Linked DNA regions of Stegostoma tigrinum. The protein of the gene in region 4 interacts with the protein of the main gene of each other region in a pairwise test. Links are inferred from orthologs where the notes say so. Each region holds a gene or a part of one and is shown on either strand. Other genes may lie near its edges. The genes, in order: rad54b, lrrfip2, pkp4 and atpaf2.

Region 1 (7,906 bases), on a different chromosome or scaffold from region 4:
TGGGAGGTCAGACATCTCAGCTCCAGGCCACCTCTGCAGAAGTTCAGAGTAGCAAGCTAAGTCCAACCACCTTCAGCTGCTTCACCAATGTCCTTCCCTTCATCAATAGGTCAGAAGCAGCAATGTTCACTGATGATTGCATAATGTTCAGCACCATTCTCAACAGCTTTGAAACTGAAGTAGTTCTAGACTAAATGTAAAGGACTAGTGACAGTAACATTTGCGTCACACAAATGGCAAGCAATGTCCATCACCAACAAACACCCAACCATCACTCCTGGACATCCAATAGCATTACTATCACTGAATCACCCACTAACAACATCCTAGGGATTACTATCGACCGGAAGCTGAATTGCACTAACTGTAGAAACACAGTGGCTACACGGGATTAGCAGCTAGGAAATCTGCAGTGAGTAACATCTCCTGACTCCTGACATTCTTTCTATCCACGGACTCTATTTACACGACTTACTGTCACAGAAAGGCAACCAACATAATGAAAGACCTATCACGACCTGGTAATGACCTCTTACAACCTCTTTCGTCAAGCAGAAGGTACAGAAGCCTGAACAAATGCACAAGCAGGTTCAGGAACTGCTTCTTTCCGGCCATTATCAGACTGTTGAATGGACTCTTGCCACAAATAATGTAATCTGCAACATAACCGGTATGCCTCAAAGTCTTTTAGATCTGTACATCCTTTGTTTGCTGTGATCTATTTGCACTGCTCATAAACAAAGCTTTTCACTGTATCTCGGTAAACATGACAAGAAAAATCAACATTCCTCCAGTGTTGCTGGGTAAAAATTCTAGAACTCAATCCCTAACATCATTGTGGTTGTACCTACCCGAAATAGACTACAGCGAATCAAGAAGGCAGCTCACTACATGGGTAATAAATGCGGGCCTAACCTGCAACACCAACATCTCATGAAAGAATGAAAAAAAAAGTGGTCCACCTCATGTAGGTACACCATAGCACTTTCAAAGAAATACTAAGCATTTTGACCCATTAATGAATGGAAATTGTGATCCAAGTCAGCACTGCGTGAACTCAGAGAAAAACTTCTAAGCGGTGTTGTTCCCATGTATCTAATGCTCAATGGAAAAGGTTGCCAATTTAGAAAATGGTGTTACAGGAGCCTAGATTAATTTTGGTAGAGCTTCTTGTACGTAGTACACACTGCTGCCACCATGAGCCAGTGTAGAGGGAGCAAATGATTAAAGTGATGGCTGAGGTGCTGATTGGGCAAGCTGCTATATCCCGAATGTTGTTAATCTTTGATCTTCCCTGGATCTGCACTCATCCAGGTAAGTGAAGACTATTCTGACGTACTCCTGACTTGTGTATTGTAGATGGTGGTTATGTTTTGGAGAGTAAGGAGTCATTCATCACAACATTTCCAGCATCTGACCTGCTCTTGCAGCCACTGTACTTATATGTTAAGGCTTCTGCTTCGTGATTACCTCTGTGCTGATGATGGTGACAAATTTAACTATGAGAATGTCATTAAAATCTTCAAGGAAGATTGTCTCACTTGCCGGAGGTAAATCATTTGCGACTTCTGTGGCAAAAATTACCATTCTGTTTACCATTTTATCAGCCCAAGCCTAAAAACTTCTATGTTTGTGGTGTATATGGACACGGAGTGCTTCAGCACCTGTCTCAGTGGTGCTGAACATCAGTCAGCGAACAATTGACTTTCAAACTGATGTTGGAGTACGATAGCCAATCGACGTGTGGGCTTGAATGAAAAACTGAAAGAAACACTCTATATCTGCATAGGGAGTCACTTGGCCTGGGGCAAGTCCAAGGTCAAATAGATCATTTAACAGCAATAAGAGGCCTCCGCTGAAACTTTCTTAAATTTGTGATGAATTGAAATTTGTGACCTTTTCAGCTCAAGATTTGAATGGAAAGTTATTGATAACACAGGTGAGAAGTTGGTCGACCTAGGACACAACTTTGAGAAACTGCTGCAGCAATATCCTGGGACTGAGGTGATTTCTAACAACCACAATCTGTGTTGGTATATCTTAAACTAGTGGATTTTCGTCAAATTCAGTTTAGCTGAAGCACCTTGATGCTATTCTGAGTCAAATGATACCTTGATAAGGGTACTCACTTCTCCTAACAGCCAGTTTCAACTTTAGAGACAAGGCAGATCTTGAATGTCTCCTACTTATCATTGGGAGTGAGGCATTTAAGAAAGTTTGTAGTGGAGAAAATAAGCCTGAAATTAACTTTACATTCAAGAATGATCATTAAAGAGTAAGCAGTTTGGCAGTATTGCCTGACCCAACAACGTGCTCCTGGTAGGTCCTGTAATGAATGGCTGCATCAGTTATCGGCAACAAAGAGTCATGTTTACATCCCTTGAAGTTAAGGCAGCAAACTTGAAGACCATGATGGGGTTCGGGGAGGAAGCTCCAGAAACAAGGCTTAAGTCTGTCATCACCAAAAACAAAGCCTACTGAATACTAATTGAATATATATATATATATTTTTTTAAGAAAACAACTTTGGTTACCTTCTCTTCCTAACTTGGAAAACAAATGTGGTGTCTCTGCACCCACAACGAAAACTGGATAAATTATTCTTTCCAGGGAGCTACACATATAGCAGGACGACAGAAAGCAGCACGGTGATATCTTGGGGGTCTTCATAAACTCACAATTATTCTTTCGATTTTATAAGATACACAGTAAACTGCCTGTGGTGCTCCCCGGTCAGAATGACGGAAATTAAATTTATACAGACAGTTACATATAGGCAATTTACATACACATCAGGAACAGTCTCAGTAATAAGGCATTGTGACAGGTGATCGACAAACTCAAAATGCGATACCTGGCACATTTTATTTTTAAACTTAATTTAGATTGTACCTCACTCGTTGCCGGGAGACTGGCGGTTGCCGAACCAGGCCCCCCGCTCCTGGGAGGGATAAACTTGAACTTTTTAGCTGCGTTGCCACTGAGCTGACTCGGAGCTGAAGACCTCCGCATTTCAGTCGCCTGTTACTCCGGCCTTCAGGAGAGAAGTATCTAGCCGTATGGACATGATCTAACCCCGCAGTTACAGGTAGGGCCGATCTCCCGGTGGATGATAATAAAATATCACCTCTCGATCACTTCATGTTTCCCGCTTCCGAGGGTGCAGCCGTGCAACGCAATGCGCATGTGCTGCGCTCGCGCTTCGCCCGCGCGAAATTTGCTTTTACATTAAAATACTTTCTCAAATCCACCAAGGCATTGCATACTAATGCTCCGAAATATCATGCTTTGCACTGTTTACCATTACCTCTGCTCCCTGGGATCTGCCTTTGCAATTCTAAGCATGTCGGGAAAGGAGATGGTGTGTTTCATTCCCAGTCACTTGCACCAAGATAACAAATAACTGCTGCTGCTGGAGATCGACCAACTTAGTTCACCAACCCTGGAACACAATAACGACTGAGTGTTGTGAACAGGCACATACCACCCAGAATTTCATGTGTAAATTTGGGGCAGTCATTCCAAATTCTCACTGGGGACACGCTGTGGTTTAAGGACTGGCCACTGTGCCATAGAATAATAAGAAATACAAGTAGCAATACTCCGTTTTGGCCATCGTGTACGCTCCACAATTCAGTACAAATATGGCTGATCTCATCATGGCCAAAACTCCACTTTCCCTTGTCAGCACCCTCATCCATAATATTTGATTCCCTTGTGGATCAAGCTCTAATTGGAACATGTTCAAAGATGCAGTTTCCACTACTCTCTATCAAAGGGACTCCAAATATTAATGATCGTCTGAGAGAAGAAATTTTTACGTGTTTCCATCTTCCATCTTGGGTGGTACAATAGCTCAGTGGTTAGCACTGTTGCCTCGCAATGCCAGGAACATGGGTTCAATCCCAACTTTGGGCGACTGTGTGGAGTTTGCGCATTCTCCCCGTGACTGCTTGGGTTTCCACTGGGTGCATCGGTTGCCTCTGACAATCCAAAGATGTGCAGCCTAGGTGGATTGGCTATGGTAAATGCAGGGTTCTGGAGTAGAGTAGTGGGGTGGATGAACTTCAGATGGTTGGTGCAGGTTTGATCAGCTGAAAGGTCTCAATCTGTACTGTAGCAATTCTATGATTCTATTCTATGAGGTAACAAGCAGGTTGGATAAAGGGGAACCAGTGGATGTAATATATTTGGATTTTCAAAAGGTATTTGATAAAGTACTACATGTTAGGCTACTTTGTAAGAACCAAATGTGTTGGGGGTAGTATCACAGAATTGTTACAGATCTGGCCAATCATGCCTCTACCAGCTCTTCAATTGAGCATCATTACCTAAATGCTAATTTCCTGCATTTTCCTCATAACCTTGCACACTATTTCTCTTCAAATAATCCAATGTCTCCTTGAATTCCTCATATTATTAGTACAGAAAGGAATTAACTAACTAATATAAGACAGAAAGCTGGGAAAAAGTTGCGGGGAGAGTGGGAAGATATTTATTAGAGTCATACCTGGCGCATGTGGCATGGTTGTCATTACTGAAGGTCAATCATCTGAGCTCAGGACATGTCTGAAGGAGATCTCTGAATGATAAAAGAGTTGAACTCCAGAGATGAAGTGCGAATGACTCCCCTTGAAATCAAGGCTGCATTTGACCCAGTGTGGAATCAAGGGGCACTGGCAAAACTACAGGCAATAGGAATCAGGATGGAAACTCCTCTGGGTAGCCATATGTGACACAACAAAAAATAATTGTGGTTTTGGGATGTCTGTAATTTCATTTCCAGGACATCACTGTAGCAGTTCCTCAATGGAATGTCTGGGCCTAACCATCTTCAGCTGCTTAATCAATGATTTCCCCTCCCTCGTAAGAACAGAAATGGGGATGTTCACCAATTATTGCACAGTGTTCAGCACCACTTTCGACTCTTCAGGCATAAGCAGTCCAGTTCAAATGCAGCAATCCTGGACAATTTCAAGACACAGGTTAGCAAAAATTATCTGTGCTGCACAAATACCAAACAATGATAATTTCCAATAAAAAAAACTAAAAATGGATCCTTGACATTCAATGACATTACCATCACTGAATCCCCCACTATCAACATCTTGGAGGTTACCATTGACCACAAACTCACCTAAACTTGTCCTACAAATAGTGGCTACATGGTCAGAAGCTAGGAATACGGCAGCAAGTAATTCACCTCCTGACTCCCCAAAGCCTGTCCGCCAATTAAAAGATACACGTCAGGAATGTGTTAGAATGCTGCCTACCAGCCTGGATCCATGCAGCTCCAATAAGCTTAATATTATCAGGACAAAGCAGCCTGCCTGATTGGCAGTACATCCACAAATGTATACTCTGTCACCACTGATGCTCCGTAGCAACAGTGTGTTCTATCTGAAAAAAAGCATTGTAGAAATTCCACCAAAAATTCTAAAACAGCTCCCTCCTAACCCACGACCACTTCCATCTAAAAGGACAAGGACAGCAGATGCACGGGAAAACAACTACCTCCAAGCCACTCACCATCCTGACTTGGAAATATATTGCCATTCCTTTGATGTTGTTAGGACAAAATCCTGGAATCCCTTCCTCCCCACATTCCCACAGCACGTGGACTGCAGTGTTTCAAGAAGGCAGCTGATCACCACCTTCTCAAAGGCAACTAGGGATGGGCAATAAAGCAATGCCTACATCCCATGAGTGAATAAAAACAAACATCCAGGATGTTAACCAATGCCTCAGGAAGCAATGTTGGGGCCATTATTATTTACACGATAAATGATTTGGATGAGAGAAGTGAATGTATTATCACCAAGTTTGTGGATGACACTAAAATAGATGGGAAGGCAAACGGTGAGGGTAATGCAAAGAGTCAGCAGATATATGCAGGTTAAATGAGTGGCCAGGAACCTGTGAATTGCAATACCAGTTCTCAAATTTCCAGAAACTATTTGATAAGGTGCCACGTCAGGTTTGTTATAGAAAATTAAAGCTCATAATATGGGAAAGCTTGTTGGTAAGGATGCAAGATTTGCTGATTAACAACAAACAGACATCAGGTGTAAATCAGTCCTTTTCAAATTAGCAAGATGTAATTAGTGATACGCCACAAGGATCAGTACTGAGACCTCAACTGTTTGAGTTTATATCAAAGATTTAAGATGAACAAATGGAGTCACACAGATGTGTTTAATCCTTTATTTTGTCTTAAACCAAATGAGGCACAGGTTTTTGTGTTCAAATGTTTATTCATGTCTGTATGAGAGATATACACTTCAAGAAAATGGCACACGGCTCAAATCTTTATTGCAAGAACGCAGGTATTATATAATTTTTACATATAACAAACTTATAATTAAATATTCCTACAGATAACAATTTCCAGTCAGAAGGTTACATATTTACTCCCTGTACCTCTGTCCAACTGTGTTCACACAATTCATATGTACACATGTCTATTTTATCCAATCATGTCCAAACTACTACATAGGATTATATTAACCAATCACAACTTTACATGTTCAGTCTCCTAGCTGTAGTACATACTTGTGATTACAGAAAACTAAGAATTTATTTTCCTACCGATTAGAAGGTATGAAAGCCAAATTTGCTGACAACAAAAATGTTAGAGAGGAAAGTAAGATGTGGACAAAAGGAGGTTAAAACATGATATATTGATAGATTAATTGAGTGGGAAAATTGGTGGCAAATGTGACAAATATAAAATTGTCCATTTTGGCAGTAAGGCTAAAAATGTAGCCCACTATCTAGATGGTCATGGATTGTAGAGCTCTGAAATACAGAGGGATTTGAATGTCCTCATGTTTTGCAGGTTAATTTAACTTCTTTTGTCCTGGTTCCTTCAAACAATGGCTGCTGGCTAGATGATTCGCAGCACTCAAAGCAAGGGAGTTCTTCTGTTCTCCTGGTTCCTTTTGACTGGCTTGCCTGGTTTCCAGCATTCAGAGTGAGAGACATATTTTCTCTTTTTTACCCGCATACAGCTGTTCTCAAAACTGTGACCTTCATAGTATGGTCCTCCACACACTATGACATAAGGCCACTAACATATCCACTTTTAACCCCTGTCTCTGTATATTCTTCAAATTGGAACATGAAACTATATTGTTCACACAGATGCTTTCTGTTTTACCATCATGATCACATTCTGAGCTGCACTTAGGAGATTACAATTTAGACGGTAGTACATTTTCTCCCCTTTTAAGTAAATTCCTTTTGACGTGTCCTTGACACCTTGTCAGGTATAACATTCCACTAAGTCTCTCTCCAGAAAGGCAATGAATTTACATCTATAGTCAACTTTTGGCTGCATGTTCTTTAAAAAATGTTATAACTAAAGTTTGTGCTGTCAGTAGATGATCCAGATTTATAATACATGGTCATGACATAGTCCAAGCTATAAAAGTCAGAGTGAAGTCTTATATTTTATTTTAACAGTAAAAATAGATTGGGCTTTTCTTAAAATTTGGTTAGGAAAAGTTGGCAAAGTAACTGGTGGGAAAGTCAATAATGAAAATAGTCATATCCTGTGAACATGTAGAAATTTGCCAAAAGGATATGCTTGCAATGCCATCAGTTAAAAAAAAATTAAGATAGAGTGATGCTTCACCAGATTTGAGTATCTCGAAAGGAGTTTGATAGGAAAAAGGTTGATTGTGCATTAAACTTAGGTTCTTTGTTAAATGAACACTGGCAGATTCATGAGAATATGTTCCATAACTGACCACAATGGTAACCAAATTGCAAAAAAACCCTATGATCCATGAAGTCAGATTTCATTCTGAGATCTGACTTGTCCTCTGTTACCATATACAGATGCAGCATTTTTATTTAGATTGTACTTCTCAAGTATAATGTTCCAATATGCTCGATAACTAAT
Region 2 (8,296 bases), on a different chromosome or scaffold from region 4:
GAATGAGTTGTGCTTGAGATTTCTTAAATTTGGAACATCTGATCCAAATACATCCCACATTTTAAAAAAGTGTGAACAAAACTAGAACGCTGGACATTATTAGTTCAATGTGCAATACATGACGTTTTTTATTTGAAAGACATTATCAAACTACAGCTTCTCAAATCATGGGCAGTAATATTTAACTTGTGAAACAATTAAAAATATTCCAGAACATCCTGCGCTTCACTTTGCTGTGAAATTTAGAGACAAATAGATACATCTGTTACTCAACTATACAATGGCAATCAAAAAGAGACTATTTTTAGATATTAAAGTTATGTCCCAGTACCACTTAAAGATGTAAGATTGCAGCAGCATTCTTTTCCAATACTGAAACAGAACTTGCATAAAAACTGTAGTTCAACTCATACAAAGTATGTCACAAGCCTTGGCTTGTCGCATTGTGTACCCTAGAGGGGATGTGAATTTAAACTATAAACTGAAGATAAAAGGTGAGAACATCCCACCACGATGAATAATCACAACAGCTGATAATAATGGAAACATTCAAAATTAAATTTCAACCAACCTCTCTGGCAATGTGGCTCAGGGCCTCATCTTCAGCAGAGAATCTGTCTTTAATAGGCGTTCGTTTCCTTCCAGATCCAGGTGTCCCCATTTTCTCCAAACAATTAAAATCTTCTACAAGTCCAAACCAATAAGATCGAATACCATTTGGAGGGGAACTCCTTCCACCAGTTGTACTACAAGACAAAATTAGATTCTTACCAAAATTGTTCTCCTCCAAAGAATAATTACATGTCACAAATTAATAGAACATAGGCCCTAATTTCAAAGGTTGGGGCATAAGATCAGGGAAGTACGCAGTGCTGCTGAGACTATTTTTGGAGTACTGAGAACAGATCTGGTGCCCTTAAGGTAGGGTTTCATTTCATTGAAGGCAGTTCAGAGAGAACGTTAACAGGGTTAGGGGAAGGGAATCACATCACTTGGGAAGTATTAAATTCTAACAGGACAAGACAAGCGAGATGCAGGAAGGATGTTCCAGATGGTGGGTGGAGTCAAGAACCAGGGTTCATGGTTTAAGAATGAGAAGTATGGTTTTTAGTTTTGAAATGAGAGGTTTCTTCGCCCAGAGTGTCACCCCTGTGCAATTCACAACCACAGAAAGTGGTCAAGGCCAAAATATTGTGTTAAGGAAGGAGGTAGATACAGCTTGTGTGACTAAAGAGATCAAGGAATATGGGGGAAGAAGCAATTAGAGTACTGAGATTGATGATCATACTGAATAGTACAGCAGACTCAAGGGGTCAAGTGGTCTACTCCTGCTCCTAATTTCTATATTTGTTATTACAATGATCTCAATAAAGCAGCTGTCTTATGAAGAACAGCCAAACAAGTTGGTACCGTATTCACTGGAGTTAAGAATGAGGGGTGATCTCAGGTGAAATATTTACGATTCTGAAGTGAGTCGACAAGGAAAATGCTGAGGGGATGTTCCTCCTCACTGGAGAATGTAGGTACAGAGGGCACAGTCTCAGGATTGAGGGGTGCCAATTTACGACAGAAGAAATTCCTCCTTATCCCAATGGGAAGTGAGTCTTTGGAACTCCTAGCTACAAAGGGTAGAGTCCTTTGTATTTAAGGATCAGATTCTTGATTTGGAGGGGAATTGGAGTTACGGACAAAATGCAAGAAAGTGGACGTGAGTAAAGTCAGAACAGCCGTGATCCTATAGAATGACAGAACAGACAGAAGGGGACAAATTGGCCTACTCTTATTTCTAATACTTATGATCTTCAGGGGACAAGAATATCGTTTGACAAATTATGCTGCAAATCCTAATGCTGCAATTTCCCATGACTTTCACTGGTTAATGTCATTTAACAGAAATTAACATAACTTGATCTCAAACCAGACTGTAATGTCTCAATACTTATACTTCAACTTTTTTGCTTCAACACTAAAGTTGCAAACTATTAAAATAATTAGTGTTCTGACATTCATTTTGGACAAAGAAATGAATACAAAATAAGTTGTGAATAATGTGAAGACTGTAAAGCTATCTGTGATGTAAAAAACAATTAGCCCAGTAACTAGGAGAAGGTCAACTCCTTTTTTCATAGTCATACAGCTAACAGGTGCAAAGCATCATGACATTTCAGCACATAATACTGCAGTGTCAATGTGCCAACATCAAACTGCTGTCTAGACGTTTAAAAAAGTTTCAAATTGGAGTCTTCTTGTTAACCATTGTGCAGTTTTATCTATATATTAAATCTAGAAGAATATACAGAGGTGCTTGACAGAAGCCAGAAGAAAACAGAGTTCAAACCAAAAAGAGATTAAGAAGGATGATCCAAAGCTTGGTCAAAGGGTGGATTTAATAAAAGGGAACAGTATTCGAGATACAAAAAGGGATTTAACATCTATGCAACTTAATACATAGCTACAGATGCCAGAAAAGGGTAGATGCACAAAAGCCAAAAGGAGTCAAGAGGAAACAACTACAGCTAGGAAAATCAATATGCAGAATTCAAACAAAAGTACAATCATGTAAAATAGTCAAGAAGCTACGACAATAAACAAACTCAACAATCACTACCAAGCAGAAGTCGATATGGCAGCAAAATGTCTATCTATACTGCTCTCCTATCACTCCTGTCATCACTGGGTCTTCATAACCTGCAGTGAAGTTTGACAGCAAACTGCTCTGGAATGCAGCATGACTGCCCTCTCATCGCCAAGGTAACCCATTTCACCTCAAGCTAACTCCGCAGGTTCGGAGACATGATTTTTTGAATAAAAGGTAGTAATCCTGGACAGGAGCCAAAAGTTGAGTTTGAATGTAAGCAATGCAAGGGCGGTACAGCGCAGGAAGCGGCCCGGCCCCGGGCTGACACCAGCAGCGCGGCTCAGACCTGCTCTCTCCAACAGTGACAATAGGCCAGGCTAAGACCAAGTCAAGCTCGGGGCGACAGGCCAGGAAAAGGGGCTTGAAAAGCCCTCGAGGTCGGCAAAGGAGATTAAGGCCTATCCGCCGATCTTGCCGGGGGAACGGAACGGAGGTGCGGTGCTGGTGATCAGTCGGCCCCGAGGTTGTCTTACCAAGCGGCTCGGCCACTCCTTCGGTCAGTCCTGGACAATCAACCAGCCATTCGTCTCGTCACCAGCTGAGCCACCCGTTCAAACATCACCAACAAACCCGTTTCTTGATCCGACCACTCGGCTTTAGCTCCGCCTGAAACGAGGATTTTAAAATAAAACTCTAACCCTATCCCAAAATTAAACCACCACCAGCTGGCAACTCCGCCAATTCCTTTGCACGCATGCGTCAACGGCTCCCGCTGGGCATGCGCTTAACCGCGTGCCTCGCGCCAGCATTGGTTGAGGCGGCTCGGTGCGCACGCGCACAGGCTACAAGTTCGGGTTGGTATGCGCTCGGGGGCGACGTTCTGCGCATGTGTGCGCGTTCGGCGAGGCGGGATTGTGAGCGGTTTGGAGAGCCTTTTGAGCGACCGTGGCGAAGATGACAAGCTCAGCGTTTGGTCATTTGTTGTAGGAAGTCAGGGAGGTCCCGAATGAGCACTGTGTCGAGCTGGACGAACACAGCAGGCCAAGCAGCATCTTCGGAGCAGGAAAGCTGACGTTTCGGGCCTAGACCCTTCATCAGGAATGGGGGAGGGGGAGGGGGAGGGGGAATCTGAAATAAATAAGGAGGGGGTGGGGAGGCGGATCGAAGATGGATAGAGGAGATAGGTGGAGAGGAGACAGATAGGGAAAACAGGCAAACATCAGCTTTCTTGCTCCTCTGATGCTGCTTGGCCTGCTGTGTTCATCCAGCTCTACACCTTGGTATCTTGGATTCTCCAGCATCTTCAGCTCCTCTTATCTCTGATACAATTTTAACCCCACTGTGAAGCCTCTTCTAACGATGCCTACCCTGAAGAAGTTACCCTCCTGCCTCCGGACAAACTTCAAGAGATCTCTCTCCCACTGCAACTCTCTCGTAATCTCTTCAGCCTTGAAACTGCTCGCCATCCCCACCTCCTTGACCTGTCTGTCTCCTCTCCACCTATCTTCTTCCTCTATCCATCTCTGATCTGCCTCCCTATTTATTTCAGAACCCCCCCATCCCCTCCCCCATTTCTGAAGAAGGGTCCAGGCCCGAAATGTCAGCCTTCCTGCTCTTCTGATGCTGCTTGGCCAGCTGTGTTCATTCAGCTCCACACCTTGTTATCTCAGATTCTCCAACATCTGCAGTTTCTACTATTCTCAGAGTCCTGAATGAATTTTTTTTCTTGCGATGTGCTGAGGAAGGCACTGCAGTTGATATCAAACAAAAACAAGTAGCTGGAAAAGCTCAGCAGGTCTCCCAATATTAGGGAAAAGACTGAAAACTGGAAGGGCCTGACAACTGGGAAAACAGCACCATGTGGGACAGTCCTGAGGACTGAAAAATAGTGCTGGATGGGAGAGACCCAAGAGCCGGAAAACATCCAAAGGGAAAGGTGCAAGACCTCAAAAACCAAGACGAAAGGGGAGTCCTGCCGCAGCTTGCAAAAAGCGCAAGGCATAATAGGACTAGAGCTGGAAAACAGCATGAGATGGAAGGGTCAGAGAGCTGATTTGTTTTTTAGAATTTCATATATTATTGTCATGTCTAGCTAGGGACCATGAGATGTTTTGTTTCTTGTGCAGTACTGGCAGATCATACCAGCCAAAGTGCAGAGGGTAAGAGAACACAGCATGGAATACAATGTTACGGTTGCAGAGAAGATGTACAAATAGCGAGGTCGACATTAAATTTGGAGAGGTCCATTCCAAAGTCAGGGAAGAAGCTGTTCTCGAATCTGTTTCGTACATGCATTTAAGCTTTTGCCTTTTCTGCTTAATGGAAGTGGTTGGAAGAGATTATAACCAGGGTGAGAGGGATCGTTGATTATGTTGGCTGCCTTACTGGGGCAATGAGAAGTATAGATGGAGTCACTGGATGGAAGGTTGGCTTGTGTGAATTACTGGGCTATGTTCACGACACTCTGTAGTTTCTCACAATCCTGGCCAAAGCAGTTGCCGTACCAAGCTGTGATGCATCAAGATAGAATGCTTTCTATGGAGCATTTATTAAAATTGGTAAGAGTCTTTTGGACATGCCAAATTTCCTTAGCCTCCTGAGGAAATACATGTGCTGTAGTGCTTTCTTGACCACTGCATCAATTTTGGTTATCATCACTCCTAGGAATTTGATGCTCTTAACCATCTCCACCTCAGATCCATTGATGCAGACAGGGGCGTGCCCTCAACCTTTCTTCCGGAAGTCAATGACCAGCTCTTTCATTTTACTGACGTTTGAGGGTGAGATTGTTATCTTCACACCACACCACCAAACACTCTACCTCTTTCGTTTATTCTGTCTTGTCATTGAGATCCAGATTATCATGGTGGTGTTATTAACAAACTTGTTGCCAGAGTTTGATTTGACAACACAATCATGAGTATACATGGAGGGCCTTGCACAACGCTGGTGTTGAGATTGTCATGGAGGAGGTGCTCTTGCCTATTCTCATTGACTGCAGTCTGTGGGTCAGAAAGTCAAGGATCCAGTTGCAGAGCGCGGATTAAAAACCTAGGTCTTGGAGTTTGACGATTAGTTGGAATTATAGTATTAAAGGCAGTGCTGGAGTCAATGAGTGGAAGACTGATGTAGGTATCCTTTTATTCCAGGGATGACTGTAAGGACAGGGAGATGGTGTCTGATATGAACCTGTTGCAACGGTAAGTGAGTTGCCAGGGATCAGGGGAGGCTGGAGTTGACATGAGCCATGACTGACCTTTCAAAGCACTTCATAATTGTGGAGGTCAGAGCCACTGGGTGGTAGTCATTGAGGCAAGCTGCATGAAGTTTTTCTGGTACCGGCCTGATGGTGGTCTTCTTGAAGCAGGTGGGGACTACAGATTGTAGAAAGGAGAAGTTAAAAATGTCAGCGACTACTCCTGCCAGCTGGTACATGCATAATCTGAGTGCATGGTGGGGGACTCCATATCGGCCAGTCGTTTTCTGTGGTTCACTCATAAAGGTCTGACATCTGCAATGGTGAATGATGGAACAGATACATTGGAGGCTGTCTCATGGTTTTATGGAGGTCACATCTGGATTTCCTGTAAACATTAGGGTCATCTGACTTGAATGCCACAAACCTGGACTTTAGTTGGCAATGGATCTCCGCTTCATCCATGCTTTCTGATTGGGGACTATTCGGTTTGAGTATTTTGTCACACATCCTTCCACACAAGTGCTAATGAATTATTTAATGGTAATAGCATACTCATCTAGATTGGCCGCTGAATTCTTGAAAATGGACCAGTCCACCGATTCAAAGCACTCCCATAGAAGCTCCAACAGTACCTCGGAATAACACTGCTACTTTCTGTACAATGTCCTCATGTTTCAAATTCTGCTTGTAAGCTGTGACGGGCAACACTGCGTTGTGATCTGATTTTCGGAATGTAGATGGGGTATGCAGCAGTAGGCATCTCTGACAGGTGTGTAGCAATGGTCAAGGATGTTCAGCCCTTGATGGGGCAGGAAGCATGTTGATAGTATTTTGGTAGCATACTGTTGAGGTTGGCCTGGTTGATGTTGCTGTCTATAATGAGTGCCTAGAGGCATTCCACCTCAATTCCATTTGTAGCAGTGTATAGCGTAGGGTGTTATGGAGACTGCTATCAGGATAGTGGAGGTGAACTCGCGTGATAGGTAGTATTGATGGCACTTCAAAGATAGATAATCTAGCTGGATATACCACAAGAAGGAAGAGATCTGAGACCTGAAAAACACAGCAAGGAGAGTGATGACTGCTTGAAAACATGTTGAGTATTGAGGTCTGTGTGCTATGATGCATTTCAAGAGGGGAGGAGATCTGAGCCCGGGAAAACAGATTGAGGTGAGAGCTTGAAAACAGCACAAGCATTTGGAAGTATATGTTCTGTGATGTAGGGTGAGTTGGGAAGGAAATTAAGAGATTGAAAATTGTCCAAGCATAAAGACATATGGGAAATGAAGAACCGCGTGATGTGAAGGCTCAAAAACAAGGGTGTGCAGTATGGGGTTTAAGAGATCAAAAATAGCACGAGAGGGAGAGCTCTGAGTAGTTCAAAAGCACTGTGTGATGTGGTGGTCTGTGAGCTGGAAAATAGTGAGAGTGGGTAGTAGTTCAAGACGTAGAATGCAGCATGACAGTGGTGAGGTTCAAAAGCACAAGTGGGAACAGATCTGAGAACTCAAAACCAGCACATGTGCAGACTGGTTTGAGAGCTGGAAAACAGCACAAGAGACTGGTCCCACAGCCACAAAACAGCACCAGAGGGAGCACACTGAGGGCTGAAAAGTTAGCTATAATGGGTTTGACCAGTGAGCCAGAAAACATCAAAATAAAGGCCAGATTTGAGAACATAAAACTCGAAGAAATGGCCCGAGAGCCAGAAATTAACAGCTGATAGGAGAGGCCCGTAGCCAGAGAGTAGAGTCAGATTGGAGACGTGGAAGGCACCCACAGGTGTGCAAGAGGTCATATGGCAAACATTTGGAAATCAGTGTGGATTGGAGAGACCTGAGGGTGTATAAATAGAATCAGAGATAATGGGAACTGCAGATGCTGGAGAATTCCAAGATAATAAAATGTGAGGCTGGATGAACACAGCAGGCCAAGCAGCATCTCAGGTGCTCCTGAGATGCTGCTTGGCCTGCTGTGTTCATCCAGCCTCACATTTTATTATCTCGGTGTCTAAATAGAGCTGGACTGTGACGTTAGATACCATTGGGCCAAGAACCAAAAGACAGCAGCATTTGGGAGAGGGCTGAGGGCCCGAATACAGAGCCAGAGTGAAGGGTAATGAGAGAAGAGATGAAAACTGGGCAAAATGGAAGAGACTGTTGACCCAGAAGACTGTGCTGGACATAAGACGCCCAAGAACCGAAAAAGAACGATGGACAGGAAAGGTTGTAGAGCCAGAAAACCTCATCAGTTGTGAAAAGCTTGAGAACCAGAATCCAGAGCTGGTGTTAAGAAAAAACAGAAGAAAGAGGCCAGAGATGTGGAAATCTGGGCAAAATGGGAGAGGCCAGTGAGCCCAAAAAAAGTGCAAGAGGTGAAAGGATCCAAAACTGGAAAACAGCGCTGGATCAGAGAGACCCGAGAGCTGGAAAACCACACAGGATTGAAGAGGCCTAAGAGCTGCAAAACAAACTAAGGAGAGAGACCTGGAAACAGAGAGAGAAAGATGGAGGCAATAC
Region 3 (7,593 bases), on a different chromosome or scaffold from region 4:
TGCAAAGGGTTTTCTGCAGAAAATCTGAAAAGCACATTGGATAGATTGTTTAAAAAAATGGCAAAGCTTTGGCAGATAGTAAGAGCATAAAACTGTAGTTACAACTCAAAATACCTGTGACAAGCACTATAGAAACAAAGCATCCCTAAAACTAATGCAGAAAACTACAAGCCAATTAGCTTCAGTATTCAGGCAGACAAAATCTTCCCCAGAGGATGAAATAACAAAAGAATTGATAAATAATTACCAGCATGGAAGCTGAAAAATGAAGCAGTCATGTTTAATCAACCTTCCTGTATCCTTTAGAAAGAGCAGACATTTGAGACGACAGTGTTGAAAGTTGTTTCTATCCTGTTTTTATACTGTATTCTTTTTATTCTGGGCATACTGAAATTAGTTGAAAAGATAGCACAATACAGTTGGCAAGAGAAACAGCAAGAACTACCTGTGCTGGAGAATCTGAGATAGGTTTTAGAGCTAGATGAACACAGCAGGTCAAGCAGCAGAGGAGCAGGAAAGCTGACGTTTCAGGTCTGGACACGAAACGTCAGCTTTCCTGCTCGGCCTGCTGTGTTCATCTAGCTCTACGCCATCTACATTGAGGTAACAAGGTGATGTGTTTAGACACAGCTGCCATGTGGAATGGTTAATACTTGATACAAGTACAAGTACATCAGCAAGATACAAACACCTGCTGAATGAGAACTGACTCATGGGGCTAAGTAGCCCCTCCTGTTCTTGTCAATACTTCAGAATGATAGGAAGTAGTCACTAATGCAGTGAGATGGCACACAGGCACCATAGCTACTAGTATAACCAGTTGGGTCACAATAAACATGACTTAAATTGTATAAAATTACTTATTTAAAGATGATTATTTGCAGTTAGAGAGTCTAGAGTTGTACAGCACTGAAACAGACCATTGGTCAAACTTATCCATGCCAACTAGATATCCTAAATTAAATCAGTACTATTTGCCAGCACTTGGCCCAGATCCCACCAAACCCGTTCTATTCACGTACACATCCAGATCCATATGACATTGCAACTCTCATACTCAATGCACAGACCAATACAGGCAAGCATATCAAATGCTTTCTTCATTAGCCTGTGTACATGGAACTCCACTTTCAAGAAAATATGAACCTGCACCTCAAGGTTTTTGTTCAGCAAGAGAGCGCAGAACACGACAATTAAATTCTGCCCTGGTGTGCCTTCCAAAATGCAACAGTTTCCACTTATGAAGAGTTAAATTCTATTTGCCATTCCTCAGCCCAACTAATCAAGGTTTTGTTCTTTTCACAGACTTCTTCACTGTTCACTACACTAATATTCATAAAAGTTGAAGCATACAAAAAACAAGGTATGTGCAAATATCTTTTTTCTGCTCAACACTGTAATCTGACGCCATCATTTTTGGTTCAACTGCAAGTTAGATTGCAGAGGCAACAGGTTTTATTGGTGCTCTCCCTACAAATGCCACATCTGGAAATCTAACAAAAGACCCTGCATCTTGCATTCCCTGTTTTATCTCTTCTATCCCTGCAAGAGAATGCAAGATTTGATTTGTTTTCATTTGGGGCAAAAAAAAATTACAGGTGGTCCAAACAACTTTAGCTCATAGCAGAAAAATCAGAGTACATTATTCATAAATGCAGTATACGTGCAAAGAAAGCAAATAAGTTAAATTGAGAAACACAGCATGCTGTCTGAACAAGGGAGCTTTTCTGATGAAGGTTCGAGGCCCGAAACGTCAGCTTTCCTGCTCCTAAGATGCCACTTGGCCTGCTGTGTTCATCCAGCTCCACACCTTGTTATCTCTGAACAAGGAACCTGTCTACTAAAAAGGTGACTTACGTAAAATTCCCTATAGAAAAATATTGTTGTTGTACAAAGTAATTTTAATAGCTTTTAAACAAGCACAAGAAAGAAAGAAAAAATTAGCAGAGATGCCGTTTAAGTGAAAACTCAAACTGTCTGGAAATACGACTTTCCTTTAAAGTTACCCAATTTGTATCACGCTTACAAAATGTCTCAATAACAAAATCAAAGGATAGAATGGATATACATGTGCAGTTGACTGTTTCGCTTTAGATTGCTAATGTCTCGGACAGAATTACTTAAAATTGGAGCAACTAAGAATATTCGATATTAACACACGTCTACTGACCGGTAGAAAGTTAAACAGAAACCACAGTCACACACAGATTTAGTAACGCCCAGTTACCGCACAGGGACTGGTTTATCACCATTAACAATCAAGGATCGTATTCTCGACAGACCAGTACAGCCAATGCAGCACAGTGGCGCAAAGGCGTATTTTTTTTCCTAATAATGATGCAAAATAAGCGCTCAAACCCCCTTCGATTGTTCTCTAAACAGTGGCCATATTCCATTATGACCGCACTGAAAAAAAACTAAACAAGGGGCAGGCAAGAAAACACGTAGCCGAAAAAGGACACGAAATCAAAATACAGTTATACCTCAATGGAAAATTTCATTTTATTGCCGCCACACCTTCACTGCGGGAAGGACTCATTCAAGTGAAACAGTCCGCAATCGCGGAACACCACCTCACCATTTTCAGTTGAAATGAATCATTTCGGGAGTGTTCTCGCCTCGGTTTTCATCAAGAACAATAGGAACCAAATGGTCATGTAAATCGTTCCGTCCCCGGTCGTTGAACATTGAGACACGAACAGGAGAAGGGTGGCAGGAGTTGGAGGCGATTAAAATCACGCCAGCTCTGGGATCCTAGCCACCCACGAAACGTTTCTCACCTTCCTCTGGCCCACGGGTGTGCGAACACCTGTCTGTGACTGGTGAGCCAAACCTCCCAGTTCATTCGCGCTCGCTCGCTCGCTCGCTCCCACACACACACACACACACACACAGACAGAGATATATTCCTCACTTATACCGAAACACTTACTACTCTGGCTGACCGGGCCACACTTCGAAAGGAAGCACCAGAAAAGACTGGAAGGGGACAGACGCCCCTTTCCAGCAACCTCAACCTCTCACTCTCACTCTCACTCCTCCCCTCTCCAGGGACGGGGTGGGGAGAAGCTGGAAACGATCGACCCCGCGTCACCGCCCTGCTCTCGGGCACGGCTTGGCCGCATTGGTCAGCCTACCAGCTACCCTCGCCTCCATTGGGTGCTGCCCCTGCGAAATCAGCCAATTGGGAAAGGTGTACTTGGTTGCCATCGCGGCGTCGCCTGTCAACAATCCGCGGCTGAGTGAGAAAGATGGCAAGGTGAGTGCGGCTTCCTCCACTGCAGCGAGCTCACCTGGCTTCCCCAGCACTGGAATTCGCCTCTGGGATGAGCCATCTATCAGTCCGAGATGTGATCACAGCTGCCAGGACTTTTGTGATGTGAGTCAAATTGTCACCAATTTAGGCAATAAAAAGGAGGAAGTAATGGTAAATTATTTTGCGAGTAAACCGATTTTTTTTTCGTTCCGGAATGTTTTTGCGGATGATGCACGTTAGCATTGTGAAACCAAAATAAATATTGAAGCCAAGATAAACCGGCGTTTTACTATTGACAATTTCATTGCAAGATATGGTGATTGATAAATAAGTGGCTTCTTAAGTATACATTGAGAAATTTCTCATAAATCCCAATGATTAAATGTTATGCCAAACAAACATTCAGCCTAATTACTAGTCCTCGTAGATTGACCTAATAAAGATGCTCGAAAAAGGTAGCTGAGGTGCTGCTTGGCCTGCTGTGTTCATCCAGCTCCACACTTTGTTATCTTGGATTCTCCAGCATCTGCAGTTCTCATTATCTCGAAAAGGGTAGTGACCGATCCATTTCCTAGATTTGTTCTCGCTCTCTCTCTCTTCCCCCGCCCCCCGGGGAGATTAGTTTCTTCTTGTTCTTTTCCCCTTCCACAACCTACATATTTAATTGAACATCTACCATTACCACCTCTTTCAGCATTAGGTTATCCAAGCATCTTTCTATTCCCTCCCTTTTCAGCATTCAAAACAAACCAAAACCAAAATTCCCACAGCAACATTCTGGTGGATACCTCAATTGTACTTTAAAATCAACTAATTCTGAGACAATGCCAACTCGTCTTTGTCCTTAACTTCATCCACTGTTGGACTGAAGTATGATCAAAACTTACAAACTGCACATCACTTTCAGGTTGAGTCCCAAAGATTAAGTATCCAATATGGTATTTAATTCTGGGTTGTAATCTGTCCCCTATTTTCAAATCATAGCATTAGTGATGATTCTACTAGTCCTATTTATGCTCCAAGATTTTTTATTCCCTTACTTGCCCAGTCACTTTCTTTTGCTTTGTGGAACCGTTCCATTTGTTATTTAGTCTCTCCAATCCCTTCCTTGTTCCATCTATCAATTTTGTACTTGCTTAACATCTGTTTTCACTAATATTTCAAAGTCAGAAAATATCATCAACCCAAGATCTTAGCTTTGTTTGTCACCACAGGTGCTGCCTAATGAGTATTTCCAGTTTTTCTTTAAACAGAGCTAAGTACAAGTCTGCTAGAAAATTCACCCCGTGCATTCCTCATGTAAACATCCACCATTTTCTTCTCATGAAGAGATTAACTAATTGCTAGATAGCTGGTCACTTCACAATATCTTGCATCTAGATTGTTAACCAGCACTTGAAGCCCACAAGTAGTGTTAACATAAAGGTGCAAAAATCCCTGGAACTTGATCAGGTTTATCTTAGAACCCAGTGGGAAGGTAGGGAAGTGATTGCTGGGTCCCTTGTGGAGATATTTGTATCATTGTTAGCCACAGGAGAGGTGCTAGCAGAGTGGAGGTTCAGCAATGGTGGTAAAGTTGTTGGAGGGAATCCTGAGGGACAGGACTTATGTATTTGGAAAGGCAAGGATAGATTAGGGTTAGTCCACATGGTTTTGTGCATGGGAAATTGTCACTAACAACAGTTTTTTTGAAGTAGTAACGAAGAGGATTGATGAAGGCAGTGGATGTGATCTATATGGGCTTCAGTAAGGCATTCAATGCTCCTCATGGTAGGCTAGTTAACAAATTTAGATCATAGGAAATACAGGGAGAACTAGCCCATTGGATTAGGACTGGCTCAAAGGTAGAAGACAGAGGGTGGTGGTAGAAGTTTGCTTTTCGGACTGGAGGCCTGTGACCAGTGGCATGCCACAAGGCACAAGAATCTTTGTAGAGTCCACTGCTTTTCATCATTTATATAAACGATTTGGATGTGAGCAGAGTCGGTATGTTTAGGTTGGCAGATGATGCCAAAACTGTGTAGTGGACAGCAAAGAAGGTTATGTCAGAGTACAATGGGATCTTGATCAGATGGGCAGAGGAGCAGCAGCTGGATTTCTAAATTTAGCTAAATGCGAGATGCTGCATTTTGAAAACGCAATTCGGGGCAGGGCTTACACACTGGCTAAGGTCCTGGGGAGTGTTGCTGAACAGTTGAACAGAGAGACTGGGAGTGCTGATTCATAGTTCTTGAAGGTGGAGTCACAGGTAGACAGGATAGAGAAGATATTTGATATGCTTGCCTTTTATGGGTCAGTGCATTGTGTATGGAGTTGGGAACGGTCACGTTGCAGCTATACAGGAAATCGGTTAGGCCACTTTGAATACTATGTTCAATTCTGGTTTCTCTGCTATAGGAAAGATGGTGTTGTGAAACTTGAGGGAGTTACAAGGATGCTGCTGACTTTGTTGGGTTTAAGGCTTTTCCCATATTTATTTTGACACGACTACTGTCATTATCCAGGGAAGATTGAAAGATCGTCATCAAAACCTTCAGGTTCGGGGTCATGCTGTAAATTCATATAGTTTGACGCACTCAAACCAAAATACAGGCGGTTCCGCTATGACGCGATAGTTACGCTGCAGAAAAATCACGCTGTGGAAAATAACTGGGCCAATGAGAAAAGCGGAGTTAGGGGCAGACCACCAAAAGCGTGGCTCAAAGGATAGCACTACGTTCGGCAGCTGTTCAAACAGGTTGGTCCGACTGTGACAGCTGTTTGGCAGATCCTTTTCTGATTGCATATCTGTCCTCACTATTTCCAAAGAGTGCAGGACAGTTACCCGGGTGTCCTAGTCAATGCTTATCCGATAGTCAGCAACAATTATGGATTGTCCTCTCATCAGACGTTGCTTGGGAGAGAGAGTTATGCGTGAATGCTGTTGTATTTTCTACAATGACTGCACTTATATACACTTAAGTGGCTGTCAAGCTCTTTGTGAAAATCGAGATTGTTACAGGTATAAGCTTTTGTAAGCAAGAAGGTCAAAGTTCAAGTCCTGCCTCAGAACTCAATGGCCCGGCAAGGCGCACTCAAGGTGAGATCTGCAAATCCTTCCTGCCAGAAGCAGAGTATAGGTTCGGAGATTCAAAGTTCCAGACTGCGATATATACACGTATGTTGCCATAGCAAATTCGACTCCTTCAGCCATTCACACCGTGTGTATGGAGGGCTATGGCGCAAGGGTGCAAAAAACAAACAAGTTGAAATACAAGCCCACCATGATCTGGCTGCTTACTTACATAGTCTGCTGGAGCAGCCTCTTGTGCCCAGCTCCTGTTCTTCAGTGTTTCCCTTCAAAGGAAAGAATATTGTTCTTCCATTTTCCCTACACCCTAATTTTTAAACTAATAAAAGAAGCCAGCAGGTCTGTTTCAATTATTGAAAAAAGCTGACCGAATTTCCGACTCAACCACAACATTGTTAACAATACCTACAGTGAACTAGTACAAAGGGCTCCTGACAGCAAGCTGCCTACTGTATGGAATCACAGCCAACACAAGTTCACGTTTAAAATGCGTTTCCCTATTTGTCAAACAGCTTATAGCCAATTAGTGTTGCCAGAACATGTTTATAGCAAAGACCCCTGTAACTCTGGATAGGAATATCCAGTCAGTCAATAAAATGAGGACTTAGTGACTTTTTCTAAGTCACTCTATAGCACTGCATCATAGGTCAGGAATCAAAAACAAACTAATACCTAAACAAGCTTATGTCAGCAAGTTCCTTGATTGGGGCTGTTAATCTGGTCCAGTCAAGGAGCTCAGAGGTCCAGCTAGCTGACCTTTTATGCAAAAAACCCCAAAAGCTATGGATTAAAAATATACTACATGCCAATGAACTAAACTGGAAATTCAACATTTTCTACATCACTATTCAAACCCAACTATTTTCATTGGCATCATTGCTTTCACATTTCCTGCCAATTCAGGTATTAACTCACTCAGAAGCCAGATAACAAGCATGAAACCAAACACCAACTGAACATGACTGGTAGTATTATTATAATTCTGTCAGAGCCAGAAATAGACAAACTTTATTCTTGTTAAAAGGTGCTAGAAGTGACTACTTCCCCAGGAATTTTTCTTCCAAGAATAGGGATTTGATCCAGAAGGTTGAGAGATAGAGCACAAGACCAAGAACTATTTGATACCTCAGACAGGAATTTAAATGCAACTCAATGATGATGATTATAGGTTATTTCCAGCAATCTTAATCTATAAATCCATGACATTGCACTATTCACCATAGATCTTTTGAAATCTATAAAGCTTGACCATACCTCATTTGGTATG
Region 4 (7,668 bases):
AAATGTCTAAATGGATCAAAGGGGTAGATTTTAAAGGACGACTGATAAACACAGAGGATCAGCAATGGAATTCCAGGAGATCAGTTGAAGGTTTGGCCACCAACGTTAGTGTGATTCAAAGCAGCGATCCACAAAGACAATACTTAAAACAGTAGATATTTCAGAAGAGATTACAGAGATGAGGAAAGGCAAATGGGCTCTTGGATAGGTTTGAAAACAAATGAGAATTTTAAAATTGGGTTAGCAAGCAGAGAAATGGTGGATGAATAGGAATTGGTGAGAGTTAAGATTCAGGCAGATAGTTATGAGCTGAAGGTTATGTGAAGCCAGGTAGGAGTATGCTCGAATGTTGTATAAAAATAAGAAAGACATAAATGTGATTTCAACAGATGAGCAAGGCAAGGATGGAGATCACCATCATTGACTGGATGACTCAAAGAAATTCAACAGTAGGGCGGCACGGTGGCTCCGTGGTTAGCACTGCAGCCTCACAGTGCCAGGGACCCAGGTTCAATTCCAGCCTCAGGCGACTGTCTGTGTGGAGTTTGCACATTCTCCCTGTGTCTGTGTGGATTTCCTCCGGGTCCTCTAGTTTCCTCCCACAGCCCAAAGATGTGCAGGTGGATCGGCCATGCTAAATTGCCCGTAGTGTTCAGGGATATGTGGGTTATAGGGTGATGTGTCTGGGTGGGATGCTTCAAGGGGCGGTGTAGATTTGTTGGGCCAAAGGGCCTGTTTCCACACTGTAGGGAATCTAATCTAATCTTAAATAAAAAACACTACTTTTAAATATCAGACTGGAAAGCACAAGTCTTACCTTCCCCTTGAGAAATGCTAACATCCTGATAAAATTTCTTCCGCTCTAAAAAACAGTAAAATTACAAAAATAATTAGATGACTTTTATTTATCTGTATTTGCTGAAACTTGCACCACAGCAACAGTGCATCTACAATAATATACTCCAAGTGTGCACAGCAATTTAACCCAGTTACAGCATAAGCGACTTACATAATTACCCAAATCAAGCACGATTTTTTGGGACTTCTGTCCAGGTACCTTCAAAGAATCAAGCAAATACCTCTAGTTTGCTGAATTATTACACTGGTCACAGCCACTGAGGCCATTGTAGAACAGTCCTAAAGGGCTCAGAACCTGTACTGTATTCCACCACGTTGCTCATCAGAAAAATTTACTAAAAACTTAAAATTTCAAACAAGCAAAGGAAAGGTGTCTTGACAGCCAGGCCAGGCTAATATTTACTTGACCTTATTCTTGTTCTAAACATAGATTACAACCAAAAACTCTAAAATACCAGTTTTGGATCCCATGCTGCTTAGGAAGCCATTCTATACATATCTTAACAACAATGTGTACAGAAGGCAAGCAGTGGTACTTGTACAGCTAATTTCACAGGTTGTGGACAGAGAGTGATTTACAGCCAACGTGCGGCCTCTTCTGGGGTGCTCGAGCCCATCTGTTTATGACAACGATAAAAGAACATTTTCATGACTTTTGTTAGAGGATAAACACTGGACAGAATTTCCCTGCTCTTCTTTAAATGGTCTAGAACTTTTGCGGCCACTTGAGTGGTCAGAGGGAGCTCCAGTTTAATGCCTCGTTCGAAAGAACTAACTCTGTGAGCTATGTTTTTTTTGTATCAACCTGGATTCTGTATTCGAGTCTGTGGAACAGGATCGAATCTACAATCCTGAAGCTCAGAGGCTCAGGTGGTCCCACGGACACACGGCTGACTCTCTGTAATCGATTCCCAGTTTCCAATCTGAGATAATGGGAACTGCAGATGCTGGAGAATTCCAAGATAATAAAATGTGAGGCTGGATGAACACAGCAGGCCAAGCAGCATCTCAGGAGCACAAAAGCTGACGTTTCGGGCATAGACCCTTCATCAGAGAGGGGGATGGGGAGAGGGAACTGGAATAAATAGGGAGAGAGGGGGAGGCGGACCAAAGATGGAGAGTAAAGAAGATAGGTGGAGAGAGTATAGGTGGGGAGGTAGGGAGGGGATAGGTCAGTCCAGGGAAGACGGACAGGTCAAGGAGGTGGGATGAGATTAGTAGGTAGCTGGGGGTGTGGCTTGGGGTGGGAGGAAGGGATGGGTGAGAGGAAGAACCGGTTAGGGAAGCAGAGACAGGTTGGACTGGTTTTGGGATGCAGTGGCGGGGGGGGGGGGGGGGTGGAGAGCTGGGCTGGTTGTGTGGTGCAGTGGGGGGAGGGGACGAACTGGGCTGGTTTAAGGATGGGCAACTCATATTCCACCTGGGAACCCTGCAGCCATATGATATCAATGTGGACTTCACCAGTTTCAAAATCTCCCCTTCCCCTACTGCATCCCTAAACCAGCCCAGTTCATCCCCTCCCCACACTGCACCACACAACCAGCCCAGCTCTTCCCCCCGACCCACTGCATCCCAAAACCAGTCCAACCTGTCTCTGCCTCCCGAACCGGTTCTTCCTCTCACCCATCCCTTCCTCCCACCCCAAGCCGCACCCCCAGCTACCTACTAACCTCATCCCACCTCCTTGACCTGTCCGTCTTCCCTGGACTGACCTATCCCCTCCCTACCTCCCCACCTATACTCTCCTCTCCACCTATCTTCTTTACTCTCCATCTTCGGTCCGCCTCCCCCTCTCTCCCTATTTATTCCAGAACCCTCACCCCATCCCCCTCTCTGATGAAGGGTCTAGGCCCGAAACGTCAGCTTTTGTGCTCCCGAGATGCTGCTTGGCCTGCTGTGTTCATCCAGCCTCACATTTTATTATCCCAGTTTCCAATCTCTCAGATTTTCTGAAGAAGGGTCCCGACCCGAAACATGAATTTTCCTGTTCCTCCGGCCCGCTGTGTTCATCAAGCTCCACACGGGGTGACCTCTAACTCCAGCATCAGCAGATCTTACTACCTCTGAATGTTATGACATGTTTGGCTTCCATTGCTCTGGCTCACCCACCCGCTGCTGGATACTGCCGCCGCCACTCCACCGTCCTTCCCATCATCTGGGAACCAACCCCAGGCCTGAGCCGAGGGAGCACCCGGGCCCAGAGACGGCACAACATGGTCCCGCAGCCTCGGCAGAGGAATCGCACCAACGGGGCAACGGCTGCTGCCGTAAATCGCTCACTGAATCCACCACTGAGCTTCGGAAGACATTCACATTCAGCAAATACTCTCCTTCAGGCCGTCGCCATGTTGCTGACCTGCCACCCCGCAAAACATGCGTTGACGGATGTGCCCTGTATCCAATCACAAGGCGGCACACGGGTCAATCAAATAGCAGGGGGCGGGGCTTCATGGAAGCTGGTCGGGGATGATCCAATCACGTGGATGCCTTTTATCAAAAGTTTCCAATCACTGAAAAGTTCCTAACCGTGACTTTACCTCTCAGAGTAGAGGATGTATTTTAATTCCTGTGTAACACTGAAAATTAGTGATAAATAACAATGAATCTCTTTCTGTAATACCTTTTATGGTGTACAAGTTAATTAACCACTTTCTGAAGCGTAGTCACTATTTTAATGTAGGAAACACAAGAGCCAGGTTGTATGTACACCATAAACAGTAATGGAATTAAAGGCCGGATCAGCATACTCCTACTAAAGTTCTGATTGAAGCTCGTATCATAAGATTTGTTTCCTTGTGCTCCAAGTGCCATGTCAGCTTTTGCGTAAAAATGAATGAATACGAGATTTCAAATTACAAGAGAAACAGTTATGAGCTAACTGGATATCAAAGTGTGGGGCTGGATGAACACAGCAGGCCAAGCAGCATCCCAGGAGCACAAAAGCTGACTTTTCGGGCCTAGACCCTTCATCAGAGAGGGGGATGGGGAGAGGGAACTGGAATAAATAGGGAGAGAGTGGGACGCGGACCGAAGATGGAGAGAAAACAGGATAGGTAGAGAGGAGAGTATAGGTGAGAAGGTAGAGAGGGGATAGGTCAGTCCAGGGAAGATGGACAGGCCAAGGAGGTGGGATGAGGTGGTAGGTAGGAAATGGAGGTGCGGCTTGAGATGGGAGGAAGGGATGGGTGAGAGAAAGAACAGGTTAGGGAAACAGAGATAAGCTGTGAGGCTGGATGAACACAGCAGGCCAAGCAGCATCTCAGGAGCACAAAAGCTGACGTTTCGGGCCTGGACCCTTCATCAGAGAGGGGGATGGGCAGAGGGAACTGGAATAAATAGGGAGAGAGTGGGAGGGAAACCGAAGATGCAGAGAAAACACGATAGGTAGAGAGGAGAGTATAGGTGAGAAGGTCTCTGATGAAGGGTCTAGGCCCGAAACGTCAGCTTTTGTGCTCCTGAGATGCTGCTTGGCCTGCTGTGTTCATCCAGCCTCACATTTTATTATCTTGGAATCTCCAGCATCTGCAGTTCCCATTATCAGAGATAGGCTGATGGGGGTGCGGCTTGGGGTGGGAGGAAGGGATGGGTGAGAGGAAGAACAGGTTAGGGAGGCAGAGACAGGTTGGACTGGTTTTGGGATGCAGTGGGTGGAGGGGAAGAGCTGGGCTGGTTGTGTGGTGCAGTGTGGGGAGGGGATGAACTGGGCTGGTTTAGGGATGCGGTGGGGGAAGGGGAGATTTTGAAACTGGTGAAGTCCACATTGATACCATATGGCTGCAGGGTTCCCAGGCGGAATATGAGTTGCTGTTCCTGCAACCTTCGGGTGGCATCATTGTGGCACTGCAGGAGGCCCATGATGGACATGCCATCTAAAGAATGGGAGGGGGAGTGGAAATGGTTTGCGACTGGGAGGTGCAGTTGTTTATTGCAAACTGAGTGGGGGTGTTCTGCAAAGCGGTCCCCAAGCCTCCGCTTGATTTCCCCAATGTAGAAGAAGTTACTCCGGGTGCAATGGATACAGTATACCACATTGCAGATGTGCAGGTGAACATCTGCTTGACATGGAAGGTCATCTTGGGGCCTGGGATAGGGGTGAGGGAGGAGGTGTGGTGGCAAGTGTAGCACTTCCTGCGGTTGCAGGGGAAGGTGCCAGGTGTGGTGGGGTTGGAGAAGATTGTGGAGCGGACAAGGGGGTCGTGGAGAGAGTGGTCTCTCTGGAAGGCAGACAAGGGTGGGGATGGAAAAATAGCTTGGGTGGTGGGGTCGGATTGTAGATGGCGGAAGTGTTGGAGGATGATGTGTTGTATCCGGAGGTTGGTGGGGTGGTGTGTGAGAATGAGGGGGATCCTCTGGGGGCGGTTGTGGCGGGGGCAGGGAGTGAGGGATGTGTTGCGGGAAATGCGGGAGACACGGTCAAGGGCGTTCTCGACCACTGCGGGGGAAAGTTGTGGTCCTTGAAGAACGTGGACATCTGGGATGTGCGGGAGTGGAATGCCTCATCCTGGGAGGAGATGCGGCGGAGGCGGAGGAATTAGGAATAGGGGATGGAATTTTTGCAGGAGGGTGGGTGGGAGGAGATGTATTCTTGGTAGCTGTGGGAGTCAGTGGGCTTGAAATGGACATCAGTTTCTAGTTGGTTACCTGAGGTGGAGACTGAGAGGTCCAGGAAGGTGAGGGATGTGTTGGAGATCGCCCAGGTGAACTTGGGGTTTGGGTGGAAGGTGTTGGTGAAGTGCATGAACTGTCAAGCTCCTCTGAGGAGCAAGAGGCGGCGCTGATACAGTCATCAATGTAATGCAGGAAGAGGTGGAGTTTGGGGCCTGTGTAGGTGCGGAAGAGGGACTGTTCCACGTAACCTACAAAGAGGCAGGCATAGCTGGGGACCATGCGGGTGCCCACGGCCACCACCTTTGTCTGTAGGAAGTGGGAGGAATCGAAAGAGAAGTTCTTGAAGGTGAGGACGAGTTCGGCTAGGCGGATGAGGGTGTCGGTGGAGGGGGACTGGTCGGGCCTGCGGGACAGGAAGAAGCGGAGGGCCTTGAGGCCATCTGCATGAGGAATACAGGTGTATAGGGACTGGACGTCCATGGTGAAAATGAGGTGTTGGGGTCCAGGGAATTGGAAGTCCTGGAGGGGGTGGAGGGCGTGGGTGGTGTCACGGACGTAGGTGGGAAGTTCCTGGACCAAAGGGGAGAAAATGGAGTCTAGATAGGTGGAGATGAGTTCGGTGGGGCAGGAACAGGCTGAGACAATGGGTCGACCATGGCAGGCAGGTTTGTGGATTTTGGGAAGGAGATAGAAATGGGCCATGCGGGATTGGGGAACAATGAGGTTGGAGGCTGTGGGTGGGAGGTCCCCTGAGGTGATGAGGTCATGGATGGTGTTGGAGATGATGGTTTAGTGGATGAAGTCATGGATGGTGTTGGAGATGATGGTTTGGTGGATGAGGTCATGGATGGTGTTGGAGATGATCTCAGGTAACCAGCTAGAAACTGATGTCCATTTCAAGCCACCGACTCTCACAGCTACCTAGAATACACCTCTTCCCACCCACCCTCATGCAAAAATTCCATCCCCTATTCCCAATTCCTCTGCCTCTGCCGCATCTGCTCCCAGGATGAGGCATTCCACTCCCGCACATCCCAGATGTCCATGTTCTTCAAGGACCACAACTTTCCCCCCGCAGTGGTCGAGAACGCCCTTGACCGCATCTCCCACATTTCCCGCAACACATCCCTCACACCCCGCCCCCGCCACTATTGCCCCCAGAGGATCCCCCTCATTCTCACATACCACCCCTCCAACTCCGGATACAACGCATCATCCTTCGACACTTCCGCCATCTACAATCTGAACCCACCACGCAAGCTATTTTTCCATCCCCACCCTTGTCTGCTTTCCGGAGAGACCACTCTCTCCGCGACTCCCTTGTCCGCTCCACACTCCCCTCCAACCCCACCACACCCGGCACCTTCCCCTGCAACCGCAGGAAGTGCTACACTTGCCCCCACACCTCCTCCCTCACCCCTATCCCAGGCTCCAAGATGACCTTCCATGTCAAGCAGATGTTCACCTGCACATCTGCCAATGTGGTATATTGTATCCATTGCACCCGGTGTGGCTTCCTCTACATTGGGGAAACCAAGCGGAGGCTTGGGGACCGCTTTGCAGAACACCTCCGCTCAGTTCGCAATAAACAACTGCACCGCCCAGTCGCGAACAATTTCAACTCCCCCTCCCATTCCTCAGACGACATGTCCATCATGGGCCTCCTGCAGTGCCACAATGATGCCACCTGAATGGTGCAAGAACAGCAACTCATATTCCGCTTGGGAACCCTGCAGCCCAATGGTATCAATGTGGACTTCACAAGCTTCAAAATCTCCCCTTCCCCCACTGCATCCCAAAACCAGCCCAGCTCGTCCCCTCCCACCACTGCATCCCAAAACCAGCCCAGCCTGTCTCTGCCTCCCTAACCTGTTCTTCCTCTCACCCATCCCTTCCTCCCACCTCAAGCCGCACCTCCATTTCCTACCTACTAACCTCATCCCGCCTCCTTGACCTGTCCGTCTTCCCTGGGCTGACCTATCCCCTCCCTACCTCCCCACCTATACTCTCCTCTCTACCTATCTTGTTTTCTCTCCATCTTTGGTCCGCCTCCCCCTCTCTCCCTATTTATTCCAGTTCCCTCTGCCCATCCCCCTCTCTGATGAAGGGTCTAGGCCCGAAACGTCAGCTTTTGTGCTCCTGAGATGCTGCTTGGCCTGCTGTGTTCATCCAGCCTCACGTTTTATTATCTTGGATTCTCCA

The links.
Region 1: the proteins of atpaf2 (region 4) and rad54b interact in a two-hybrid assay, tested with the Homo sapiens proteins (2 studies listed by BioGRID). The two-hybrid records come from large-scale screens. The link is inferred for Stegostoma tigrinum from reciprocal best matches to the Homo sapiens genes ATPAF2 and RAD54B.
Region 2: the proteins of atpaf2 (region 4) and lrrfip2 interact in binary tests that used the Homo sapiens proteins (3 or more experiments, as listed by UniProt). The two-hybrid records come from large-scale screens. The link is inferred for Stegostoma tigrinum from reciprocal best matches to the Homo sapiens genes ATPAF2 and LRRFIP2.
Region 3: the proteins of atpaf2 (region 4) and pkp4 interact in binary tests that used the Homo sapiens proteins (3 or more experiments, as listed by UniProt). The two-hybrid records come from large-scale screens. The link is inferred for Stegostoma tigrinum from reciprocal best matches to the Homo sapiens genes ATPAF2 and PKP4.

The regions. Positions count from the first base shown.
Region 1 is NC_081358.1:91,295,835-91,303,740, forward strand, and holds the start of rad54b (DNA repair and recombination protein RAD54B), read right to left. Parts: upstream 3,322-7,906; 5' UTR 3,013-3,321; coding exon 2,893-3,012; intron 1-2,892. UniProt on the Homo sapiens protein: Involved in DNA repair and mitotic recombination. May play an active role in recombination processes in concert with other members of the RAD52 epistasis group.
Region 2 is NC_081358.1:6,313,095-6,321,390, reverse strand, and holds the start of lrrfip2 (leucine-rich repeat flightless-interacting protein 2), read right to left. Parts: upstream 3,345-8,296; 5' UTR 3,112-3,344; intron 747-3,111; 5' UTR 662-746; coding exon 572-661; intron 1-571. UniProt on the Homo sapiens protein: May function as activator of the canonical Wnt signaling pathway, in association with DVL3, upstream of CTNNB1/beta-catenin.
Region 3 is NC_081360.1:58,118,450-58,126,042, reverse strand, and holds the start of pkp4 (plakophilin-4), read right to left. Parts: upstream 3,120-7,593; 5' UTR 2,933-3,119; exon of another isoform or gene 2,913-2,932; intron 2,877-2,912; exon of another isoform or gene 2,579-2,876; intron 1-2,578. UniProt on the Homo sapiens protein: Plays a role as a regulator of Rho activity during cytokinesis. May play a role in junctional plaques.
Region 4 is NC_081376.1:20,185,148-20,192,815, forward strand, and holds the start of atpaf2 (ATP synthase mitochondrial F1 complex assembly factor 2), read right to left. Parts: upstream 3,255-7,668; 5' UTR 3,074-3,254; coding exon 2,968-3,073; intron 863-2,967; coding exon 818-862; intron 1-817. UniProt on the Homo sapiens protein: Plays a role in the assembly of the F1 component of the mitochondrial ATP synthase (ATPase).